Linked DNA regions of Saccharomyces cerevisiae S288C. The protein of the gene in region 1 interacts with the protein of each later gene in a pairwise test. Each region holds a gene or a part of one and is shown on either strand. Other genes may lie near its edges.

Region 1 (3,849 bases):
CAGACAAAACAGCTTCACAGAATTTGATCATGCCATCGTAAAAACCACGTAGTAAGGAATAAAAAATCCCGAAGTCGATCATACTATGTAGAGATGTACATGAATAGTCTAGGAATCTGGTCTTCCAGCATGTTGCTTTGGTCTGCTTCAAGCGCTATGGAAGCGCTCGCCATGAGATATGCTGTTTCAAGGCAAAATAGCAAAGCTCTTTGTAAAGAAATACAATTCAGAGAAGAAGCTACAGCATTTTGTTTCTGGATGATCCCTGCAGGTTCATACTACTAAGTAAATCTTGAACAGTTCAAATTTCAACAATTCAGAAACCGCTCTTTTTATATATACTCTACCAAACGAGATGAAACAGCATTTTTTTACTCTTATAAGGTACCAATATTTTGACGTATGCTTTCTTTAACGTTCACGATCGGGCTGGGCCATTAAACTTACCTTAGATATTATTTGGAACAGCACCGCAAGTGCTGATGTCCCAGAAATGGGCGCCGGTTCAATTAGGTCGTGAAGTCAGACATATGGAGACTCTCGGACTGAAAGCACTAAGGGATGATAGCTGGCATGCCAATTCCATTTTAAATTTACACATCAAGTTACAGGGTTTGGGAAAATCACGTTCAAAGCCTGAAAATTTGAGGTTGTTCACGGAAATCATTTGGTTATGTCTGTCGGCCTGCTATTTAGAGACATTTTTTATTGCAACAACCTACTCTATGCACTTACACGGAATCGCAGAATAACGCGCGCACAACACAATTGGGAAACGATAGGATTTTGAATAGTGTATTGCTTTGTACCGATTTAAATAATTCTTTCTCGTGTTGAATCCGAGTTGAAGATGAGTATGCTTTGAAGAGGTGAAATATCATCAGTAAAAAAAAATAACGACAACTGCAGGACTCGAACCTGCGCGGGCAAAGCCCAAAAGATTTCTAATCTTTCGCCTTAACCACTCGGCCAAGTTGCCAAAATTGTATGTTATTTGTTGTATCTCAAAATGAGATATGTCAGTATGACAATACGTCACCCTGAACGTTCATAAAACACATATGAAACAACCTTATAACAAAACGAACAACATGAGACAAAACCCGACCTTCCCTAGCTGAACTACCCAAAGTATAAATGCCTGAACAATTAGTTTAGATCCGAGATTCCGCGCTTCCACCACTTAGTATGATTCATATTTTATATAATATATAAGATAAGTAACATTCCGTGAATTAATCTGATAAACTGTTTTGACAACTGGTTACTTCCCTAAGACTGTTTATATTAGGATTGTCAAGACACTCCGGTATTACTCGAGCCCGTAATACAACATTATTTTCAGTGATAAAATATGTAAACCAATTATAAGAAAAAGGATTGCGTTGCATCACAACTGTAAACCATTAATTAAAAAGAGCAATTGCTATTTAGATTTGTTGCTGAGAATTGGCTAAAAAATCTGATAATTGTAGGACTTCTATTATTGCTAGGGGCAATGTGTTGGAATGCAATTCTGTTGGAATAAAAATCCACTATCGTCTATCAACTAATAGTTATATTATCAATATATTATCATATACGGTGTAGAGATGATGGCATAAGGTATGAAAAGCTGTCATCGAAGTTAGAGGAAGCTGAAGTGTAAGGATTGATAATGCAATAGGATAATGAAACATATAAAACGGAATGAGGAATAATCGTAAGATTGGTATATAGAAATATAGACTCCATTATGGGGATTCCTAGACCCTCGAGGAGAACCTTCAAGTATATTCTGTATACCTAATATTATAGCCTTTATCAACAATGGAATCCCAACAATTATCTCAAAATTCCCCCAATTCTCAACATCCGACTGCCATGCAATGTGCTTTTCTGGATCTCACTCATGATCATAATGGCCCTGTAAAAGGCTCGCACTATTATTATTATATCTTCACTATATATTATTTCGGAGGCTGTACCTATCAGTGAAAAAACGCCTCTAAAAATGAAAAAAAAAAAGAATATGAAAGGGGTTCTGAATTGCTAAAATATTTCGTCAAAGCTCAATTAGTATCATGATCAAGTCGTAATTCGAATCAGCATAACAACCTCCAAAACCATATAATAACCTTACACAAGACAAGATATCAATTCAACATGCAAACCCCTTCAGAAAATACCGACGTCAAGTTGGATACTCTCGACGAACCCAGTGCACATTTAATCGAGGAAAATGTGGCTCTTCCAGAGGATACATTCAATTCGTACTGGAGTTATATACTTAATGAAATCGCTCGTTGTAAACCGCTAATGATTATGTTCCTAATACCTGTGTGTTTGGTTTTATTGATTACGTTTTTTCATGATATCAAAGGTATCCTTGTGTTTTTAGTGATTTCTCTTATCCTCTCTATTATCATTTTATTGATCGGTATAACTGCCTTCGTGTCTGAGACCTTGAATAAGGGTTTCATAATTAAGCTTTTAGTAGAAGTCATTACACGTAAACCAGCAGTAGGGGGGAAGGAATGGAGAATAATCGCATATAATATGAACCAGTATCTGTTTGACCATGGGATATGGCATACTCCGTATTACTTTTTTTGTGAACATAGGTGCCATAAATTTTTCAAAAGCCTTATCAAACAGACAAGGTCGAATGCACATTTGAGTTCACCAACGAACGGTGCAGAGAATACGCAGTCAAACACACCAGCAAAAGAGGTTTCAAATGAGATGGTAAAACCTTATATCTTTAGTTCTGATCCAGTTTTAGAAGCTTACCTTATTAAAGCTGCGGAAATTCACAAAGAAGCTGAATTTGAGTATTGGAGAAAGCAATACCCAGAGGTTGATTTGCCTTAGGGCCGAATTTTTGGTATTTATCTAGTATATTCTAATATAAAATGTACGAGCATCATTAACTTCAAGAACATTACGAAGCCCGCAATTAAGTGTCAGTCCATCTGGGTGTAAAAGTTATGTACGCTCGAAACAAATTTTATGTAGTTTACTTTAGATGCAAATGCTATTATATATTTTGCTTTATGATCCTCGGCTTGATGCTCGCCAACGTGAGATAGCTGGTCATCACAATAGATCAGCCGGGACGCTTTTCGATCACATCGAATCCCTTCGGGACGTTGCAACAATACGTGAAAAATGCCTCAAAAATAATAAATACAATGGTGAACAACGTTAAAAAAGCATAAAACAGCTGGCTATTTTGATCAGGATAACATCTATAAGTGCCATATTAAGGCAAGATATCAATTGACCATGCAAACACCTTCAGAAAATACCGACGTAAAGATGGATACTCTCGACGAACCCAGTGCACATTTAATCGAAGAGAATGTAGCTCTTCCCGAAGACACATTCAGTTCACATCTGAGTTATGTACTTTATGAAATTGCTCATTGTAAACCGATCATGTTTATGATCATCATAATCGTGAGTTTGATCTCATTGATTGTGCTTTTTCATGATAACGACGGGTGCACTGTGATCTTAGTGATGTCCCTTATAGTAGCCTCCATGGCTTTAATGGTGGTTGCAGCATTCACATTCGGGAAAGCGATCACTGAACAGGAGTTCATGATAAAGCTTTTAGTGGAGGTGATCGCACGCAAGCCTGCGGGGAAGGAATGGGGTACTGTCGCATATAATATGAACCAATATCTATTCATGAAGAGACTATGGTATACCCCGTACTATTTCTATAGCGGCAAGAAGTGCCATGAGTTCTTCACCACTCTTATCAAGGAAGTGAATTCTGGTTCGCACTCGGATTCCTCATCGAATAGTGCCGAGGATACACAATCACCTGTCTCAGCAGGGAAGACTTCAAATGGTCTAAAC
Region 2 (4,262 bases), on another chromosome or scaffold:
CCAATATAGGTCAAAACACGATTGAGAATAAGCCTATGCACATGGATGCGATATTCAGTCTACCAAGTAATTTAGATCTAATGAAGGATAATATGGACTCTAAACCGGAACAATTAGAACCCGTTATTAAGCAAAACCCTGAGAATTCAAAAAACAACCAATTTCATCAGAAAGGAAAAAGTACGAATATGGAAAAGAATAATCTCTCTTTCAACAACAAGAGTAACTACAGCCTAACAAAGCTAATGAGATTGCTGAACAACGATAATTCTTTCTCGAATATTAGTATTAACAACTTTTTATACCAAAATGATCAGAACTCCGCGTCAGCGGATCCGGGAACAAATAAAAAAGCCGTTACAAATGCAGGTGCCAACTTCAAACCACCTTCAACTGGCAGTAATACCAGCCAAGGCAGTATCCTTGGAAGTACAAAGCATGGAATGGACAACTGTGATTTCAACGATTTAGGTAATTTTAACAATTTCATGACAAATGTCAATTATTCTGGGGTCGACTATGATTACATTGTAGATGCATCACTTGGGTTGGCTCCTTTATTAGTGGATACGCCCGATATCTCAAATACCAACACGACGTCTACTACGTCAAATCGAAGTAAAAACAGCATCATCCTAGATACGACATTTAACGATGACTTGGATCGGTCACGCATGAATGCCAGAGAAGTATTGAATCCTACCGACTCAATTTTAAGTCAAGGGATGGTATCCTCCGTAAGTACGAGAAATACCAGCAATCAAAGATCTCTTTCATCGGGCAATGATTCAAAAGGTGACAGTAGTTCTCAAGAGAACTCAAAGAGTGCAACTGGCAACCAGTTGGATACACCTTCTACACTGTTTCAAATGAGAAGGACCTCTTCAGGGCCCTCGGCGTCCCACCGTGGTCCAAGACGGCCTCAGAAAAATCGTTACAATACAGATCGATCAAAAAGTTCTGGTGGCGGAAGTTCCAACACAGATAATGTATCTGATTTATTCCAATGGCAAAACGCCAAATAATTCTTTATTTCATAGTGTAATATATTCAAAACGGAATCCTCTAAATATTCATGAAACAAATAACATTCTTACGTATAATTTCTTAATAGGGCAATTGCCGTAGCTTTCGTTCACCTTATGAACAGCCAAATTTATTGTTGGAAAAAAGAAAAGATAACAAAGACGACGCCAAAACACATCTTGATGCAGCGCCCATGTTCCTCAGATTTATTAATGGAACTACATTTCAGATTAGGAAATTTTTTTGCTAGTTCCCATGGTTACGTTACCGGAGGACCATCTGACAGCGCGGAGGCTGCACGGAAGGGAAGAGAAGGCAACAGGGGTGCGCATAAATAGCGCCGACAATGCGACGCCAAAAACGTGGCTCGTATATTGATTAAGTAAAATCTTTATTTTTCCTACACAAATGTCCGTAGAACGCGTAAACTTTTTTTGCTTTGTTATAGGAGTTTTATTTATGAGATAACAATGGCATGACGAAGATTATGCTATAGTATTGCCATGGTTACGAACTAAATTTTCTTTCATATCAGTTTTTCGAGGAAATACTCAGAGACATTTGGCTTGGACAAAAATAGGTATATAAGGCAATGGAAATAGATCTTTTAACCATGGCTAGTTCTGGAAACCAATCTAAGCACACCAAACATACAACTCAAAGATCTGATTGGAAATGTTTTCAATCTTCAAAAAGAAAACGAGCGTGCAGGGCACGGACTCTGAGATAGATGAGAAAATTACAGTGAAAGCAAAAGATAAAGTAGTGGTTTCCACAGAAGATGAAGAGGTGACAACAATTGTTTCTTCAACCAAATCAACTCAAGTGACCAATGACTCACCATGGCAGGACCCCACTTACTTCAGTTCCTTTGGGAAAGAATTAATGTTCATAGCGACATGCATGTTGGCACAGTTATTGAATCAAGCGGGCCAAACACACGCTCTCTGTATAATGAACGTTCTTTCGAAATCCTTTAATTCAGAAGCAAACAATCAGGCATGGTTGATGGCATCTTTTCCCTTGGCTGCTGGGTCGTTCATCCTTATTAGTGGGAGGTTAGGAGATATTTATGGATTGAAGAAAATGTTGATCGTTGGTTATGTCATCGTAATCGTTTGGTCTATAATTTCTGGTCTCTCCAAATACTCTAATAGCGACGCGTTTTTCATTACGAGCCGTGCGTTCCAAGGAGTTGGAATTGCGTTTATTTTACCAAATATTATGGGGCTTGTTGGTCATGTTTATAAGGTCGGTTCATTCAGGAAGAACATTGTTATTAGTTTCATCGGCGCATGTGCTCCAACAGGCGGCATGTTTGGTGGATTATTCGGGGGGTTAATTGTCACTGAAGACCCCAATCAGTGGCCTTGGGTATTTTATGCCTTTGGTATTGCAACGTTTCTAAGTTTATTAATGGCATGGTACTCCATCCCAAACAACGTTCCCACAAATATTCATGGGCTTTCGATGGATTGGACTGGGTCCGCGCTTGCCATTATCGGGCTGATTCTTTTCAACTTTGTCTGGAATCAAGCACCAATAGTTGGCTGGGACAAACCTTATATCATTGTTCTTTTGATAATATCTGTGATATTCTTGGTTGCTTTTTTTGTTTACGAAAGTAAATACGCAGAGGTTCCTCTTCTACCACGTGCAATGACGAAGAACCGTCATATGATTATGATATTATTGGCGGTATTCCTGGGATGGGGGTCGTTTGGTATTTGGACATTCTATTATGTTTCCTTCCAACTAAATTTGAGGCATTACAGTCCTGTTTGGACCGGAGGTACGTATTTCGTTTTCGTAATTTTCGGATCCATGGCTGCATTCTTCGTTGCCTTTTCTATCAAGAGATTAGGACCAGCTCTACTACTATGTTTTTCACTAATGGCATTTGACGCTGGTTCCATAATGTTTAGTGTATTGCCAGTGGAACAAAGCTATTGGAAGTTGAACTTTGCGATGCAGGCTATCTTATGTTTTGGTATGGACCTGTCCTTCCCGGCATCATCCATTATATTGAGTGACGGGCTTCCAATGCAGTATCAAGGTATGGCTGGATCATTAGTAAACACCGTTATTAATTATTCAGCGTCTCTATGTTTAGGTATGGGAGGCACTGTTGAACACCAAATTAATAAAAGCGGCAATGATTTGTTGAAAGGTTACCGAGCAGCTGTATATCTGGGAGTTGGGCTCGCTTCTCTTGGTGTTGTGATTAGTGTGACTTACATGCTTGAAAACCTTTGGAATCGACACAGAAAATCTGAAGATAGAAGTTTGGAGGCATAAACTAGTTAAATGTATATTGATATAAGTGTAGGTACAAACAACAAATATAATGGCATTCTTTAAGTCGCTTGGTCTTAATGTATAGGTTAAAATAGTATCAAAATTTTGTAACTATATTCATTTCATCTGGTCTAAACCATTCACGTCTCAGCACATTCCAAGTCAATTTCGCCAAGAAAGAGGCTCTTTGTTCTTCATTTGCGCAAGCTTCAATATATACTTTAAGTTTTGGTTCTGTTCCGGACCCGCGAATAGTGAAGCGGATATGCTCATTCTCACTACCGTTACTTGGTCTAGCAGATACTGTTATCATTTGTGATGTAGGATCGACGGGTAGAGTAGGTTTATGATTTATGGTATCCGATTGGTAACCAGTGGTTAAATCTCGATAGTAAAGTACTTCGATTTCTTCACCAATAGATGAAGGATATGACGCGCCCTCAGGAGTGTAGACATTCCTGATGTAGTCAAATATATCTTTTGTAACAGTTGGATTTGGAACGACATAATAGCCATTGTACTCTTTGAACACGCCATATTTTTTGAAGCCATTTTCTAAGACATTTAGCGGGTCCAAATTGTGGTCTATTTTCCACTTACAGTAGGCTTGCAAGAAGACAATGGATGCACTGATACCATCCTTATCATGCTCCATTGCTGGAAACATGTAGCCTATTGCTTCCTCGAATCCAAAAGGAACGTAATAGCCTTTCTTTTCCAAGAGTATGGCACGATTTCCGATCCACTTAAATCCTGTTAATGTATCCTCATAATGGAACCCTTCTATTTCTGCCATTTTTTTTATCATTTGTGAAGACACTGTTGAATTTAACATAGCCAACGGATGAACGTGCTGAAATTCTTTGTCCATACTTTTATATTTCTGATATTCATAAAATGCAAAAAGAAAACCGATTTCGTTACCTGTTAGTTGTCGC
Region 3 (4,267 bases), on another chromosome or scaffold:
GCCTGAAATCCATGGTATTATGATATATGGCCAATATGAGGCGTACTGGTAAAACATTCTCCATTTCAAGGAGGAGAAATCTGAGAGTATTAATGTCAGGAGCAGATTTGTTCCGACGTATCCACAGTTATAGAAAACCGATCCTGCTGCATACATGGTGAGACGGGTCGCCTGTGATTGAATGATGGTTCCCATTATATAAAAAATAGTTGCAACTAAAAAAAGCCTTAGTCTTCCGAAGTGGTCAGAGAGTCTAGAGTAGACAACTTGGGATCCGACACTCACAACAGCATTGATAACTTGGACAGTTGAAAGTAAGGAGTGTTCTGAATATGAGTTCGTTGCATAGCCCGTATAGGTCGATCTAAGTGTGTAGTCTAAACTAATTCCAAACCCACATACAAACGCGGTACTTATCAGTAGAATTTTATATTTCAAGGAATCAAACTGTGCAGACATAATTTCGTTTTCTTTGAGCTTAAAAAAGGTCGATGTCATAGAGTACGTGTCATCGTTTGAGTGACGTTCTCGCTCAATAATCTCACAGGACTGCCTAATTCCACTTTTTTTATTACTTGAGGCACCAACAACACTAGAACTCATCCGATAATTTATTTACTTGATTATTCTTTTTTTTTTTTTTCTCGTTCCAGTCCATAAAACTATTTTACTTTTCTTATTTATGTAAATAGTATTTAAGATTCTACGGTCGCTACATCTGCTAGAAATGGAATTACTTTAATACATTCCATGTTCTCATATATATTTTACTGACACATTTTGTCACTATTTTTTTTTTAACTTTTTTTTGGAAGTACTAAAATTATATGCTCGTAATTATTGAGTATCAAAAAAAAATAAAAAAAATTGCTGTGACGCCCCTTCAATGTGGTGTCTATACACCTGGTGACTTTAACTTTAACTTTGACCTGTCGTCGTACAATCAACTTACTTTCCGAAAATCCACAACGAACCAGTTATACCGAAGACTTTTGTACGACAAGAATACTGTACCGTCGAAACTATCTCTTTTCAAACTAATGAGTGAAGCTTGTGTTTATGTCTGTTGAAACAAGGAAAAAAATGCGGTGCCTGTCGACAGGATATGAGCACAAGTGCAAAATCATCAAAAAATTGAGTACCTAGATCCGGTGGTGTAGGACGAGCAAAGTTCCTTCATAAACAAACCGTAAGGGTTACTGATACACAATTTCCTTTGTGTAAAGAGTATTTGAGCAAATTAGTCGGCGATTGAAAGCAACACCCTTTTTTCTATATATAGTAGGTGAAAGTTAACATGCGAGTAAAAGTAGTGCCACATTTCCTTTGCAGCAGGTGCAAATTAGTACATATTTAACAGATAGCGCCGCACCTCATATGCAGCGCGTACATGATACGAGTCGACAAAATATGCAAAAGATAATAGTGTCATCACACCTTTATGAGAAGCGAATTTTTTTTTTTTTTGGTTTAAATATATATATACATATATATAGATGTATTCTAGTTATACTCATACCTAGAACTGATCAGACCAGATCATACCTGGTATAGAGCTTAATCGATAGAAATTCAAAAATATGGAGGAAACTAAGTACTCTTCGCAGCAGGAGATAGAAGGAGCATGTGGTTCAGACGCTTCATTGAATGCTAGAGGTAGCAATGATTCTCCAATGGGACTTTCCTTGTACCTCTGCCTGGCTTCGTTAACTCTTGTACTATTCATAACTGCACTGGATATTTTGATAGTGGGAACTATTATTGACGTGGTCGCAGAACAGTTCGGAAACTACTCCAAAACAGGTTGGCTCGTTACAGGCTACAGTTTACCAAATGCTATTCTGAGTCTCATTTGGGGAAGATTCGCATCTATCATAGGTTTCCAGCATAGTCTCATTTTAGCAATACTTATTTTTGAAGCCGGATCCCTAATTGCTGCCCTTGCCTCTTCAATGAATATGCTCATTTTCGGTAGAGTTGTTGCTGGTGTTGGGGGAAGCGGACTCCAAACGCTTTGCTTTGTTATTGGTTGTACGATGGTTGGTGAAAGGTCACGTCCATTGGTGATTTCCATCCTAAGTTGTGCATTTGCTGTAGCTGCTATCGTTGGTCCTATAATCGGAGGTGCCTTTACAACCCATGTTACCTGGAGGTGGTGCTTCTATATCAATCTTCCTATCGGTGGTCTTGCCATTATTATGTTTTTACTCACCTATAAGGCCGAGAATAAGGGTATACTTCAACAAATTAAAGATGCTATAGGAACAATCTCGAGCTTTACTTTTAGTAAGTTCAGACACCAAGTTAATTTTAAAAGACTTATGAATGGCATAATCTTCAAGTTTGACTTCTTTGGTTTTGCCCTCTGCTCTGCAGGGCTGGTCCTTTTCCTACTGGGGCTAACCTTTGGTGGTAATAAATATAGTTGGAACTCTGGCCAAGTCATCACATATTTGGTTTTGGGTGTCTTACTTTTTATTTTTTCATTGGTGTACGATTTCTTCCTATTCGATAAATTCAACCCGGAACCTGATAATATATCCTACAGGCCTCTCCTTCTAAGAAGATTGGTAGCAAAACCAGCCATAATAATAGTAAACATGGTAACATTTCTATTATGTACCGGTTACAATGGGCAAATGATATACTCTGTCCAGTTTTTCCAACTTATATTTGCGTCGAGTGCATGGAAAGCCGGTCTTCACTTGATACCAATCGTTATTACCAACGTTATTGCGGCCATTGCAAGTGGTGTGATTACCAAAAAGCTCGGTTTAGTTAAACCACTCTTAATATTTGGAGGCGTTCTTGGGGTAATTGGAGCAGGGCTTATGACACTTATGACAAATACGTCCACGAAGTCAACTCAAATTGGTGTTTTGCTATTACCGGGGTTTTCCCTTGGATTTGCTCTACAAGCATCGCTCATGAGTGCACAGCTTCAAATTACCAAAGATCGTCCAGAAGCTGCTATGGACTTTATTGAAGTAACAGCTTTCAATACATTCATGAAGTCATTAGGTACAACTCTTGGTGGTGTGCTTTCAACCACTGTTTTTTCCGCCTCCTTTCACAATAAAGTATCACGAGCTCATCTAGAGCCTTACGAAGGAAAAACGGTTGATGACATGATTTTGTATCGTCTTCAAAACTACGACGGTTCTCATTCGACTATTGGAAACATTTTAAGCGACTCCATTAAGAACGTATTTTGGATGGATCTAGGGTTTTATGCCTTAGGATTTTTGTTTTGTAGTTTTTCATCCAATAAGAAATTAATCATACCAAAAAAGGACGATACACCAGAAGATAATTTAGAAGACAAGTAGCGCAGTTATTTTCTTATTTTCATTTTATTTTTTTTCGCCTTTTATACAGACTTCAACACAATCAGAATCAAATAGGTGTATCGCAATGGAATGTAATTTCTTAAGTATTCTATATGTACTTAAAACCTATTAATATATGGATCAGTAGTTCATAAAATTCATGCTGGTGCGTTCAAAGATGTGTCTTTAGTAAGAAATCTGGAAAATTCGCGAGCCTGAATATACTCATCGCAGTGCAAGAAAAAGGTTGTCTTCTTTTCTTTTCTTGACAAAAATGCAGCGATAACCTGTAAAGAGAATCTCAAATAGACACATGATAGCAGCTGCGTAATAACAGACCTCAACCGCAATCACATTAAAGGCGTAAGCAAATTTGGCCAGCAAAATTTTCGTTTGTTCCTCGACATAAATTCTCATCAGAAAAACTGTTTACTGTCAGTGCTTTTGTCTTTGCCGCCAATACGGCAGAGAATTACATAGTATACTACGATAAACTTCTATAAATTTAAATATAGATAAAAATAGCACGATATGAACCACGGTACTCTCCAATAGTATACTTGCGATAAAATCAGCAGCTAAGTACTGAATAAGCATTTAAATTATGGTATTTTTTTTTTGCTCCTGCTGAATATTCGGGATTCTTAACGAGAGAGTTTCTTTTGTGATGATATAATATTATTTTCTAGTATAAGTAAAACTATCAAAAAAAAGTAATAATAACGTAGCTTGTTTATATACCATAAAATGTACCAGCAAAATTTTGTTTGGCACAGACAGGTTCAAAGGAGTTATTTCTTAAAGTTCTCAAAAAAAGTAGTGGATTAGGACATATAGCCCTGAAAAGTTAAAAGCGACTTCCTGAATGCCTTCTAATTACACACAAATATATGACGTAAGCAGATCGTATACTTCGTAGCTAGAACTGGAATGAATAA

What was found. Proteins that work in one complex are often made in the same cells at the same time.
Region 2: the proteins of UIP3 (region 1) and ATR2 interact in a protein complementation assay, tested with the Saccharomyces cerevisiae proteins (one large-scale study listed by BioGRID).
Region 3: the proteins of UIP3 (region 1) and VBA5 interact in a protein complementation assay, tested with the Saccharomyces cerevisiae proteins (one large-scale study listed by BioGRID).

What each region holds. Positions count from the first base shown.
Region 1 is NC_001133.9:181,625-185,473, forward strand, and holds UIP3 (DUP240 family protein UIP3), read left to right. Parts: upstream 1-2,145; coding exon 2,146-2,853; downstream 2,854-3,849. Other genes in the region: KTD1 (DUP240 family protein), read left to right, coding at 3,268-3,849.
Region 2 is NC_001145.3:823,791-828,052, reverse strand, and holds ATR2 (Atr2p), read left to right. Parts: upstream 1-1,701; coding exon 1,702-3,324; downstream 3,325-4,262. Other genes in the region: DNA-binding transcription factor CAT8, read left to right, coding at 1-1,025; phosphoribomutase PRM15, read right to left, coding at 3,422-4,262.
Region 3 is NC_001143.9:657,778-662,044, reverse strand, and holds VBA5 (basic amino acid transporter), read left to right. Parts: upstream 1-1,580; coding exon 1,581-3,329; downstream 3,330-4,267. Other genes in the region: GEX2 (glutathione exchanger), read right to left, coding at 1-603. UniProt on the Saccharomyces cerevisiae protein: Transporter required for vacuolar uptake of basic amino acids.